Macaca mulatta: one gene and its partners. The main gene of each other region encodes a partner of the protein of the gene in region 2 in a complex. Links are inferred from orthologs where the notes say so. Each region holds a gene or a part of one and is shown on either strand. Other genes may lie near its edges.

Region 1 (3,748 bases), on a different chromosome or scaffold from region 2:
GAGGCGGAGCTTGCAGTGAGCTGAGATCCGGCCACTGCACTCCAGCCTGGGCGACAGAGCGAGACTCCGTCTCAAAAAAAAAAAAAAAAAAAAAAAAAACCCTCATAACCACTCATGTAATAAAGGGAGAAAATTCAACATGAGAATGACTTGTCTCTTGACAATATTAATGTAAAAAAAAAATTTTTTTTTTTTTAAGACAGAGTCTTGCTCTATCACCCAGGCTGAAGTGCAGTGGCGCAATCTTGGCTCACTGCAACCTCGGCCTCCCGGGTTCAAGCAATTCTCCTGCCTCAGCCTCCCAAGTAGCTGGGATTACAGGCATGCGCCATCACATCTGGCTAATTTTTGTATTTTTAGTAGAAAGGGGGTTTCACCATGTTGGCCAGGCTGGTCTCAAACTCCTGACCTCAGGTGATCCACCCGCTTCATCCTCCCAAAGTGCTGAGATTACAGGCATGAGCCACCACGCCCGGCCAATAGGAAGGTAAAAAAAAATTAAAAGGTAAGAAAAGAATGACAATCAGCATCACACATGTAAATGCAGCAAAGACGAAAAGGTCTGTCCAATGCCCATGCCTAAACACATGGTTCTCAAGCTGCCCTATGTCAACACTCCTTAGAAGCTCTTATTCAAAAGTGAAGATTCCCAGATTCCACCTCTAGAGGATCTGATTCACTAAGTCTGAAGTGATGCCCAGGAACCTGCATCCTCCAAAGACTTAACACTGGTGGTACTCAGCCCATATATATCTTTAAAATTTCAGTCGGGTGCGGTGGCTCATGCCTGTAATCCCAGCACTTTGAGAGGCCGAGGCGGGTGGATCATGAGATCAGAAATTCAAGACCAGTCGGACCAATATGGCGAAACCCCGTCTCTACAAAAAATACTTTTTAAAAAATTAAGCGGGGCGTGGTGTCGTGCGCCAGTAGTCCCAGCTACTCGCGAGGCTGAGGCAGGAGAATCGCTTAAATCCAGGAGGCAGAGGTTGCAGTGAGCCGAGATTACACCACTGTAGTCCAGCCTGAGCGACAGAGCAAGACTCCGTCACAGAAAAAAAAAAAAAGAAAAGAAAAAAAAAAAACTTTTAGCTGAGATTCAGGGGGTACATGACGTGCAGGATTGTTACAAGGGTATATTGTATGGTGGCTGGGCACGGTGGCTCACGCCTGTAATCCCAGCACTTTGGGAGGCCGAGGCTGGTGGATCATATGAGGTCGGGAGTTCGAGACCAGCCAGACCAACATGGTGAAAGCCTGGCTGTACTAAAAATACAAAAATTAGCTGGCCGTGGTAGTAGAAGCCTGTAGTCCCAGCTACTTACGAGGCTGAGGCAGGAGAATCGCCTGAACCCAGGAGGCGGAGGTTGCAGTGAGCCGAGGTCGCACCACTGCACTCCAGCCTGGGCAACAGAGCAAGGCTCCGTCTCAAAAAAAAAAAAAAAAAAAAAAAAAAAAAAAAGTCCATAAAGTATTTATTAACACATCTTTTAAAAGGAAGTAAAGAAATAAAGAGAAAATAAAGTACTTATAAAACTTAAAGTACGCTAGTACGAAACTGTACAAACACTGTTAGTCTCAGGCGGACCTGCCCAAGGCTCAAAAGCCCAAATGAGAGGAAAGGGACCAAAAGCGTGAAGGTCCCCGCCTCTCCGCGCTCACCTTCCCATACATCCCTCTGCTCAACAGCTCTCCTCAGCCTCTCGCTGAAACTGACAGCTCGGAAGGGGGTTTGACTGCGCAGCCGGCGCACTAGAGAAAGGGGCGGGCATGTGGCCCTAGAGGCGGGCCCAGGAAATTCAAAACAAGCCCGCAGAGGTGCAGGCCTGCCAGCCCCTGCCTTACCGGCTTGCTCCCCTTCGCGGCGGCCGTGCCTCCCCGGAACCCCACGGCTTACCTTTACCCGGAGCCGCAGGACCTGAGGCTGAACCTGAGACGGCCGTGACCCCCGAAGCGCCAGTGCCCGGAGGGTCGGGGGCCGCAGGGCCAGGGGCCGAGGCGGTCACCCGGCTGAGAAGCGCGCTGGCCACCTCAGCGCCGACGCTGTCCACCTCTCCCGGGGCTCCGGAGCCCGCCACTGCCTCCTCCAGCAGCCGGGCCTCACGGCGCAGCGCCTCTTCGGCCTCGCGGAGGTTGCTCTGCCGTAGGAACTGCAGCACGGCCAGTAGAGTCTGTCGGTCGTGCGGAGCGCCGGCCTCCGGAGCAGCCGCAGGCACCGGGGCCGCCCCCGCCGGGGCAGCGGTGGAGACAGCCACCGTGAGCTTGGGGGTCCCGCCATCCCCGCCAGTGGACGACGATGCCGCAACGTTCCCGCCGCCGCCGTTAGGGCCGTTGTTGGTAGTGCCGCCGCTACCCTCGCCTGCGCCGTCCCCCGCCTGCGGAGGTAGCAGCGTTGGCGGTCCCTCAGGCTCTAGCTTGACCGCCACCTCCGTCTGCTCCTCCGCCAGCGCCGCCATCTTGCGGCTGAGCCACCTTGCGCCGTCAAGCGTGATTGCATTTTCGCCACATGGAGGGCGGGGAGGAGCATTTCACGACAACTCTAGTAGGCCATTTACGGCAGTAGGAGGGGCGAAAAGGAAGGAGAAACGGAATAGGAAAGAGAGCAACTTTCAAAAACGGGCGAAAGAAAGGCAGGAAGTGGGCATAGGGAACACCTATTACATTTCTCTGATAATAATTGCCATTTATTGCAGAGCAGCTATATTTAGGCATTATGATAGACGTTTTACATTATGTGATCTCCTTCAATTCAATAATCTTTTTCTCTTTTTTTTTGAGACGGAATTTCATTCTTGTCGCCCAGGCTGTTCAAGCGATTCTCCTGCCTCAGCCTCCCCAGTAGCTAGGATTACAGGCATGCGCCACCACGCCCGGCTACAATTAAATAGTCTTATGAGGTAATATTATCCCCACCCCACAGATGGCTCTGCCGAAACCAAGAAAGGTTAAATAACTTACCAGAGTCACGCAAGAAGAAAGTCCAAATGTCAACATTCGAATCCACGTATTTAACTCAAAAGTATATACCATTTGCCAGAGGAAGGCTTCCAAGATACTGGTAATGTTTTACGTTTTGACCCGGATAGTGCTTTTTTTTTTTTTTTTTTTTTTTTTGCAATTTTTACTTTTGTAAAAGTTAATCAAGGTGCATGCTTTATGAACTTTTAACCATATACATTACATTACATTACATTTTTTTATTTACTTATTTATTTTTTGAGACGGAGTCTCGCTCTGTCGCCCAGGCTGGAGTACAGTGGCCCGATCTCAGCTCACTGCAACCTCCGCCTCCCGGGTTCAAGCGATTCTCCTACCTGAGCCTCCCGAGTAGCTGGGATTACAAGCATGTGCCACCACGCCCGGCTAATTGTTGTATTTTCAGTAGAGACGGGGTTTCGTCATGTTGGCCAGGCTGGTCTCAAACTCCTAATCTCAGGTGATCCGCCCCTCGGCGTCCCAGAGTGCTGGGATTACAGGCGTGAGCCACTGCACCTGGCCCATACACATTACATTGCAATAAAAAGTTTTTAAATGCAATAAAAAGTTTTACAGGCGCGGTGGCTCCCACCTGTAACCCCAGCACTTTGGGAGGCCGAGGAGGGCGGATCACGAGGTCAAGAATTAGAGACCAGCCTCACCAACCAACATGGCGAAACCCCGCCTCTACTAAAAATACAAAAAATTAGCTGGGCGTGGTGGTGCGCCCCTGTAATCCCAGGTACTCCAGAGGCTGAGGCAGAAGAATCGC
Region 2 (3,748 bases):
TTTTTTGAGATGGAGTCTCGCTCTGTAGCCCAGGCTGGAGTGCAGTGGCCGGATCTCAGCTCACTGCAAGCTCCGCCTCCCGGGTTTATGCCATTCTCCTGCCTCAGCCTCCCGAGTAGCTGGGATTACAGGCGCCCACCACCTCGCCCGGCTAGTTTTTTTTAATGTATTTTTAGTAGAGACGGGGTTTCACCGTGTTCGCCAGGATGGTCTCAATCTCCTGACCTTGTGATCCGCCCGTCTCGGCCTCCCAAAGTGCTGGGATTACAGGCTTGAGCCACCGCGCCCGGCCCACAGCTCTTTATACATTTTTTGGTGTGTTTGTGGGTTCTTCTCCATTTTACTGTGAACCTTACAGATGCTGGAACTGGGTCTGACTTGCATACCTAACATTCCAGCATACAGTAAAAAATAACAGTTCTCTCTTTTTTTTTTTGAGACAGAGTCTCGCTCTGTCACCCAGGCCGGAGTGCAGTGGCGCGATCTCGGCTCACTGCAACCTCCGCCCCTCCAGGTTTAAGCAGTTCTCTGCTTCAACCTCCGGAGTAGCGATTACAGACGCGTGCCACCACGCCCGGCTAATTGTTTTGTATTTTTAGTAGAGACGGGGTTTCACCATCTTGGCAAGGCTGGTCTTGAACTCCTGACCTCGTGATCCACCCGCCTCGGCCTCCCAAAGTGCTGGGATCACAGGCGTGAGCCACATAAAAGCAATTCTCACCAAGCATTTGACAGCAAAAAACTGTCCTGTAGAGAATGCTACAGGACAGGCTTTGGCTTAGTAGTGAGGTCTGAGTTCAAGCTGAGGCTCTGCACTTATTAGCTAGAATTTTGCTTAATCTCTCACAGGTCTCCTCTAACTGATTAAATGGCGTAACGGAGGTAAGCGGATTAGCACAATTCCTGGCAAACAGTCAGCAGTCAATTGTTATTACTGAATTGCCAGTTCACAGGCACAACCAACCGATCTGTCTCATCTCCCGGTTCCTGTGTTGCCAACTTCCTCGTTGAGGTTCAACAGGATACCTGTGGGGTAATGTGTCCCAGATGATATCCTGGTCCTGACACCATGACAAAGGCACCAACCAAAAATGGCGACCTCAAAGCCATCCGAGGGCGTCAATTACCCGTCATGCTACCGATGGATAAATAAGCAGAGTCGGGAAGAAAAGCTAGTGAAGGATTCTTAACGCCGGGGTGGAATACGCAGAGCTCGCTCATGCTGCCACTCAACTACAAGCAGTTAAAAGCGCAAGCTGCAGGCTACAGCTACACACAGCTCAAGATCGCCACCACGTGTCGGAGGGCAGTCTGCGCCTGCGCAAGCGAGGCGCGCGCCCGCCGGCCGGAAGAGCCGCGCGTTTCCGGGTTGGAGGCGGGGAGCGGTGCCGGAAGTAGTCGGGGAGGGCCGCGCAGTCGGACCGGCTGCTGAGACGAACGCTTCTCTGGGGCAGTCTCCGCATATCATGGGGAGATAGACGCTGCTGCCTGTGAGTCTTGGGCCCTGGCAGTTGAGGAACAAGAGCGGGAGGAGGGAGTCAGGACCCAGATCTACAGTAGGTCAGTGTTCGAAGGACCAGGTTGTGGACGAGACGGGGCTGTGAGGATTCAGGCTCTTGGGAAGGGACTGACAGAGGATCAGGCTCGGAGAAGACGCGGCTGTGGGGACCTGGGCTCCAAGACGGGACTTAGGGAACGGGGACGGATCTGAGTTCTCCGGCATCTGAGGGAAAGTGGTCTGAGAGGAGCAGGATTATGAGGACCCGCACTCCTACGAGGAGAGGGTCGGAAAGGAACGGGGTGTGAAGACACGGGCTCCGGAGAGGTAAAAGTGGAGCGGTGAGGACTTGGGCTTCTAAGAGGCAGAAGCGGGACAGTGAAGACCCGGCCTCCTAAGGATTCAGAAACGGGGCAGCGAAGACTCAGGTTCCTGAGGGGCAGAAGCAGACAGAGAAAACTTGAGTTTGGAAGGGAACAGAAGCGGGCAGTGAAGACTGGGGCTTCTTTGGGGACGGGATCCGGGCTTTGAGACTCCGAGTACCTGAGTCTCAGAACAGGGCGGTGAGGACCCAAGCTCCTAAAAGCCTTGGATCTAAGGGACCATGGATGTGAGATCAGCCTAGAAAGTAAAGGGAAAGGGTTTGGAAAAGATTTAGTGATCCATTTTTTTTTCCACAGTATTCCCTGAACCCAGAGAGATAAAGGACGTATTCAGGGGAAGACAACTTCTCCTTCGCACTGCCTGCTTGGCTCTTGGCAGGCTTTTCTTGTGTTAGATACTCAATCTAGGAAGCCCACATGCAAACATCTTCATTTTCTGCTTCATTCTTGGGAATCAGATGTGAAGTTGAAAACAGTTGGAACTCAGTTATATACTTGATAAGTGCTTTAAATCCCATTCCACTCAACCCTGAATGAGCACAGATCTCTGCATCTCAAGTAAAAGAATGTCAGTGATGGAAGAGTCCCAAAAGATCATCTTTTAAAAACTCCTATTTTACATTTAAGGAGGCTAAGGTTCAAAGAGGTTTAGGATTACAGTGAGGCAATGGTTAGATCATAATTTTAATACAGTACCCTTCTGTGCGTAGCAAATGAGATGCTTGGTTAATGTTCCTTAAATGCTTCCAGAATCTTTGCTTTATCTTCAAACTCAGGAGGGAATTTTTTTTTTTTTTTTTTTTTTTTTTTTTTTTTTTTTGAGACAGGTTCTCTCTCTGTTGCCCAGGCTGAAGTGCAGTGGCTCAATCTTGGCACCATGCACGTCAACCTCCTAGGCTCAAGCAATCTTCCCACCTATATATACCTCCTGAGTAGCTGGAACTACAGGCATGTGCCTCCACACCCTGCTAATTTTTAAATTTTTTGTAGAAACAGGATCTCACTATGTTGCCCAGGCTGGTCTCAAACTCCTAGGCTCAAGTGATCCTCCCACCTTGGTCTCCCAGAGTGCTGGGATTGCAGGCATGAGTCACTTCCCCCCGCTTCCAGTTTTCTTTTTTTGAGACAGAGTCACCCAGGCTGGCGTGCAGTGGCACGATCTCAGCTCACTGCAATCTCTGCTTCCCCGGTTCAAACGATTCTCCTGCCTCAGCCTCTCAAGTAGCTGGAATTACAGGTGTGTGCTACAATGCCCAGCTAATTTTTGTATTTTTAGTAGAGACAGGGTTTTACCATGTTGGCCAGGCTGGTTTCGAACTCCTGACCTAAAGTGATCTGCCCACCTCAGCCTCCCGAAGTGCTGGGATTATAGACATGAGCCACCACGCCTGGCCCAGTTTTTATTTCCAGTAAAAACTGGAAATTTTTACAGTTTCTGATACTTTGAGTGTTATTACTGCATTGACATTGATACAGTAAATGTCACTTAATAGTAAGGAAACCTTTATTTTTATTTTTATATTTTTGAGACAGGGTCTTGTTTTGTTGCCCATATTGGAGTGCAGTGGCATCATCATAGCTCACTGCAACCTATATTCTTGAGCTCAAGCACTCCTCCTGCCTCAGCCTCCTGGGTAGCTGGGACTACAGGTATGAGCCACTACACCCAGCTAATTTTTAAGTTTTTTTGTAGAGACGGTGTTTGGCTGTGTTGCCTAGGCTGGTGTTGAATTCTTGTCCTCAAGTGATTCTCCCACCTTGATATCCCAGAATGTTGGGATTATAGGCATGAGCCACTGCACCTGGCTGGAACCTTTAAATAAAGCTCAGTGTTATTTATTTATTTATTTAATAAGCTGTTTGGAAA
Region 3 (3,748 bases), on a different chromosome or scaffold from region 2:
ACGGGTTATGGGGACAGCGCCTTGTGGGTCCCCATTATATAGGTGGAAAGGGACAAACAGGCCCACCTGTACGCGCCTCCCGAAGTGCGCTCCTTCCCTAAACGTTTTGGGAGCTCCTGGGACAGGAAATACGGCAATTCGTCCAGGCAGCGCAGAAACAAAGAGATAAATATGGTAACGCGCACCTACATTTCCAAGGACATTCTTTAAGCACGCATAAATTAAATATGTAATAGGTGCTGGGACCTAGTCATACCCAGGTGAATAAAACGCCCTCCCCCTCGTATCTCTATGAGGGAAGAGAAGAAAATTTTAAAATAGAAATATCCTCACCACTTCATCCTCCCAGTACATGAACTAGTTCGTTAAAGTGAAACGTTCGAAGGAGACACCTTCCTCTCTTTAGGCTTTCCTCTTAGTTTTGGTAAGATTAACCAAAATGATAGAAAAGTGTCAGACTTGTAGAAACAAACCTCAATCTTGAATACTTGCGAACTGAAAAAAAATCATTTAATTGGATAGAAACTATGTGTGTTTTGTTCCCTGGTACTAGCACTGTTTCTAAATCGAAGTACGCAGTCAATAGTTGTGGATGAATAAATGAATTGGATAAATTCTGCTCAAGCTAGATGACTTTTTGTTGTTAAGGTGCTTGCTGAATGGAGCGGAAATGCTAGCAATTCCACGTACACACAGACCCGCGGTTTCGGGCCAGTTGAAATACACAAGGTTGAGTCTTGCCTGAAAGTTTACCAATCCCGGGTAGCCTCATTCCACGACACCGCCATACAACGGAACTGAGTTTTCTCCCGATCCCCCAACTTTACTCTGAGGGGTTAACGAAGGGATTAACTGGTATTGAATTTTTAGACAGGCGAAAAGGAAAAAGTTATTTAGTAAACAAAACTGCGCTCCTTCACAAGTGCTGGTTTCCTAGCTAGGAGGATCCATAGTCTGAGCTCTTTACGTCCAATTTTCCCGCTTCCCACTGTCGCCAAACCAAAGTTAAAATGAGTCCTCTAGTCCTCTACGCGCGCCTCAAAATGACCCCTCAGGAGAGCGGTAGGGGTGATGTCATCGCTGCGCGACGACAGGAAGTAAGATACTGTCCTGTGCAGCTCGGGGTTCCGAGCTTCTGCCTCAGACATCGCCGCGATCTCCTCTCCCCTCCAATCCTATCCGTGATGGACGATGCCCGCGAGTCGCCCTCCGACAAAGGTGGAGAGACAGGGGAGTCGGATGAGACGGCCGCTGCGTCCGGGGACCCGGGGGCTACCGACACGGATGGAATCCCAGAGGAAACTGACGGAGACGCAGATGCGGACTTGAAAGAAGCTGCAGCGGAGGAAGGCGAGGTAGGAAGAGATGTATCGATGAGGCTGAAGGAATACCCAGAGATCGTGTTACTGGGTGCTTGCCGGGCTTCTGGTTAGTCCCTCCCAAGTTACGAGAACTCGAACTCACCAGAACTCCCTCCAGATCGTTAATCTTGAGGGGGAAGAGAGCGGACGACCAAACAGAACTCCAGTGCTGGTTCCGTTCCAGAGGCTCAAGCACTGCGTTAATATTTTTAGTCTTGTCAAGGGATTAAAGCTACTTCTAAGGGAGTTTTAATAGCCTATTGGCTTTAGTGGTGAGGAAACTGGGATCCAGTGTCACACTGAGACGCAGTGCAAGAGCTAAAACCCAGGATTCGTAGCACCCCTTTCACCGCAATATGGTTCGTCTTAGATGTTAAGACAACTTTGTTTCTTTATAGGAAGGAGGGTCGATCAAACCTGTCAAAGGGAGATAGACTTTTATAAAAGTGTCGCCCGGGCTGTAGTACAATGGCGCGATCTCTGGCTCACTGCAACCTCCGCCTCCCGGGTTCACGCGATTCTCTTGCTTCAGCCTCCCAAGTAGCTGGGATTACAGGCTCACACCACCATGCCCGGCTATTTTTTGTATTTTTATTAGAGACGGGGTTTTACCATGTTGGCCAGGCTGGTCTCGAACCCCTGACCTCGTGATCCGTCCGCCTCGGCCTCCCAAAGTGCTGGGATTACAGGCGTGAGCCACAGCACCCGGTGATCAGGGACCCATCAGTTGGGTCTGGTGTTTTTATGCTACAGAGAGTTCAGCAGTGTTGCCTAGCTGAACATTGGTCAGGACCAGAAACTCATCGTTCTCTGGATTACATTTCTGGAAGTAGAATCTTGGGGTCTTAGAGCTAGAAGGGATTTAAGAGATCGTGGGGTGAACAGTAGATTAGATGGAAATAGCCTTTCAGTGTATAAAGTTGCATAAAAATGTATAAAGTAAGAACTTTTAGAAAAAGAGAAAATTTGGCCGGGTGCAGTGGCTCACGCCTGTAATCTTTGGGAGGCGGAGGTGGGTGGATCGCCTGAGGTCAGGAGATCCCCAATATGGGGAAACCCTGTCTCTACTAAAAATACAAAAATTAGCTGGGCATGGTGGCAGGCGCCTGTAATCCCGGCTACTTAGGAGGCTGAGGCACAAGAATCGCTTGAACCTGGGAGGCAGAGGTTGCAGTGAGCCGAGATCGCACCACTGCACACCAGCTTGGGTGCCAGAGTGAAACTCCGTCTCGAAAAAAAGAAAAAGAGAACATTTGACAAAAGTATTTTAAGGCAGGTTTCTTTTTTTGTTTTTGTTTTTGTTTTTGAGACTGAGTACTCGCTCTGTCACCCAGGCTGGAATGTGCAGTGGCGCGATCTCGGCTCACTGCAAGCTCCTTTAAGGCAGTTTTTGTTGGTTTGTTGAGACAAGGTCTCACTCTGTCACCCAGCCTGGAGTGCAGTGGCACAGTCTCTGCCTCCTGGGCTCAAGCAACCCTCTTATCTCAGCGTCCGCAGTAACTGGGATTGCAAGCATACTGCACCACGCTCAGCTGAAGTTTTTGTATTGTTTTGTTTTGTTTTGTTTCGTTTTTGAGACGGAGTCTCGTTCTGTTGCCCAGGCTGGAGTGCAATGGCGCAATCTCGGCCTACTGCAACCTCCGCCTCCCAGGCTCAAGTGATTCTCCTGCCTCAGCCTCCCCAGTAACTGGGATTACAGGCACGTGCCACTGTGCCCAGCTAATTTTTGTATTTTTAGTAGAGCCAAGGTTTCACCAAGTTGCCCAGGCTGGTCTTGAACTCCTGACCTCATGATCCATCTGCCTCAGCCTCCCAAAGTTCTGGGATTATAGGCATGAGCCACCGCACCTGGCCAGCTAAAGGTTTTTTAAATATTGTTTTGGTAGAGACAAGGTCTCATTATATTGCCCAGTCTGGTCTCCAACTCACTGGGCTGAAGTAATCCTTCCGCCTCAGCCTCCCAAAGTGCTAAGATTACAGGTGGGAGCCACCATGCCTGGCCAAGAAGGAAACTTTAAAACAGGTGTCAAGGACAGCAAGGATTTGAATAATTAGCTTGGTACACTAGAGAGCTCACTACATATATAAATTTGCACCGAACAGAGGATAAAATTATGTTGTTTCTGAAACACTTTTAAAAATCAATCATGTACTAGACCATGAAGAAAAATATGAATTCTTAAAAGATATCATAACAGGCCACATCTTGTTAATGCAATGCATTAAACTTGAAATTAACTACAAAAAGCTTCTCCCCCACCAAAAAAGAACCCCCTGGAAATTTTAAACTACTTTTTAAATAGCCTTTAGACTAAAGAAATTAACAGAACACTTTATCAAATGATATGGGATTTGGCCAAAGCTTTATTTAAAGAAAAATGTATAGC

The links. Proteins that work in one complex are often made in the same cells at the same time.
Region 1: TAF12 (region 2) and TAF5 share a complex: the UniProt entries of both Homo sapiens proteins name them as parts of the TFIID basal transcription factor complex. The link is inferred for Macaca mulatta from reciprocal best matches to the Homo sapiens genes TAF12 and TAF5.
Region 3: TAF12 (region 2) and TAF11 share a complex: the UniProt entries of both Homo sapiens proteins name them as parts of the TFIID basal transcription factor complex. The link is inferred for Macaca mulatta from reciprocal best matches to the Homo sapiens genes TAF12 and TAF11.

Annotation. Positions count from the first base shown.
Region 1 is NC_133414.1:115,514,533-115,518,280, reverse strand, and holds the start of TAF5 (transcription initiation factor TFIID subunit 5), read right to left. Parts: upstream 2,493-3,748; 5' UTR 2,457-2,492; coding exon 1,898-2,456; intron 1-1,897. UniProt on the Homo sapiens protein: The TFIID basal transcription factor complex plays a major role in the initiation of RNA polymerase II (Pol II)-dependent transcription.
Region 2 is NC_133406.1:212,257,827-212,261,574, forward strand, and holds the start of TAF12 (transcription initiation factor TFIID subunit 12), read left to right. Parts: upstream 1-1,396; 5' UTR 1,397-3,211; intron 3,212-3,748. UniProt on the Homo sapiens protein: The TFIID basal transcription factor complex plays a major role in the initiation of RNA polymerase II (Pol II)-dependent transcription.
Region 3 is NC_133409.1:147,388,297-147,392,044, forward strand, and holds the start of TAF11 (transcription initiation factor TFIID subunit 11), read left to right. Parts: upstream 1-1,150; 5' UTR 1,151-1,184; coding exon 1,185-1,355; intron 1,356-3,748. UniProt on the Homo sapiens protein: The TFIID basal transcription factor complex plays a major role in the initiation of RNA polymerase II (Pol II)-dependent transcription.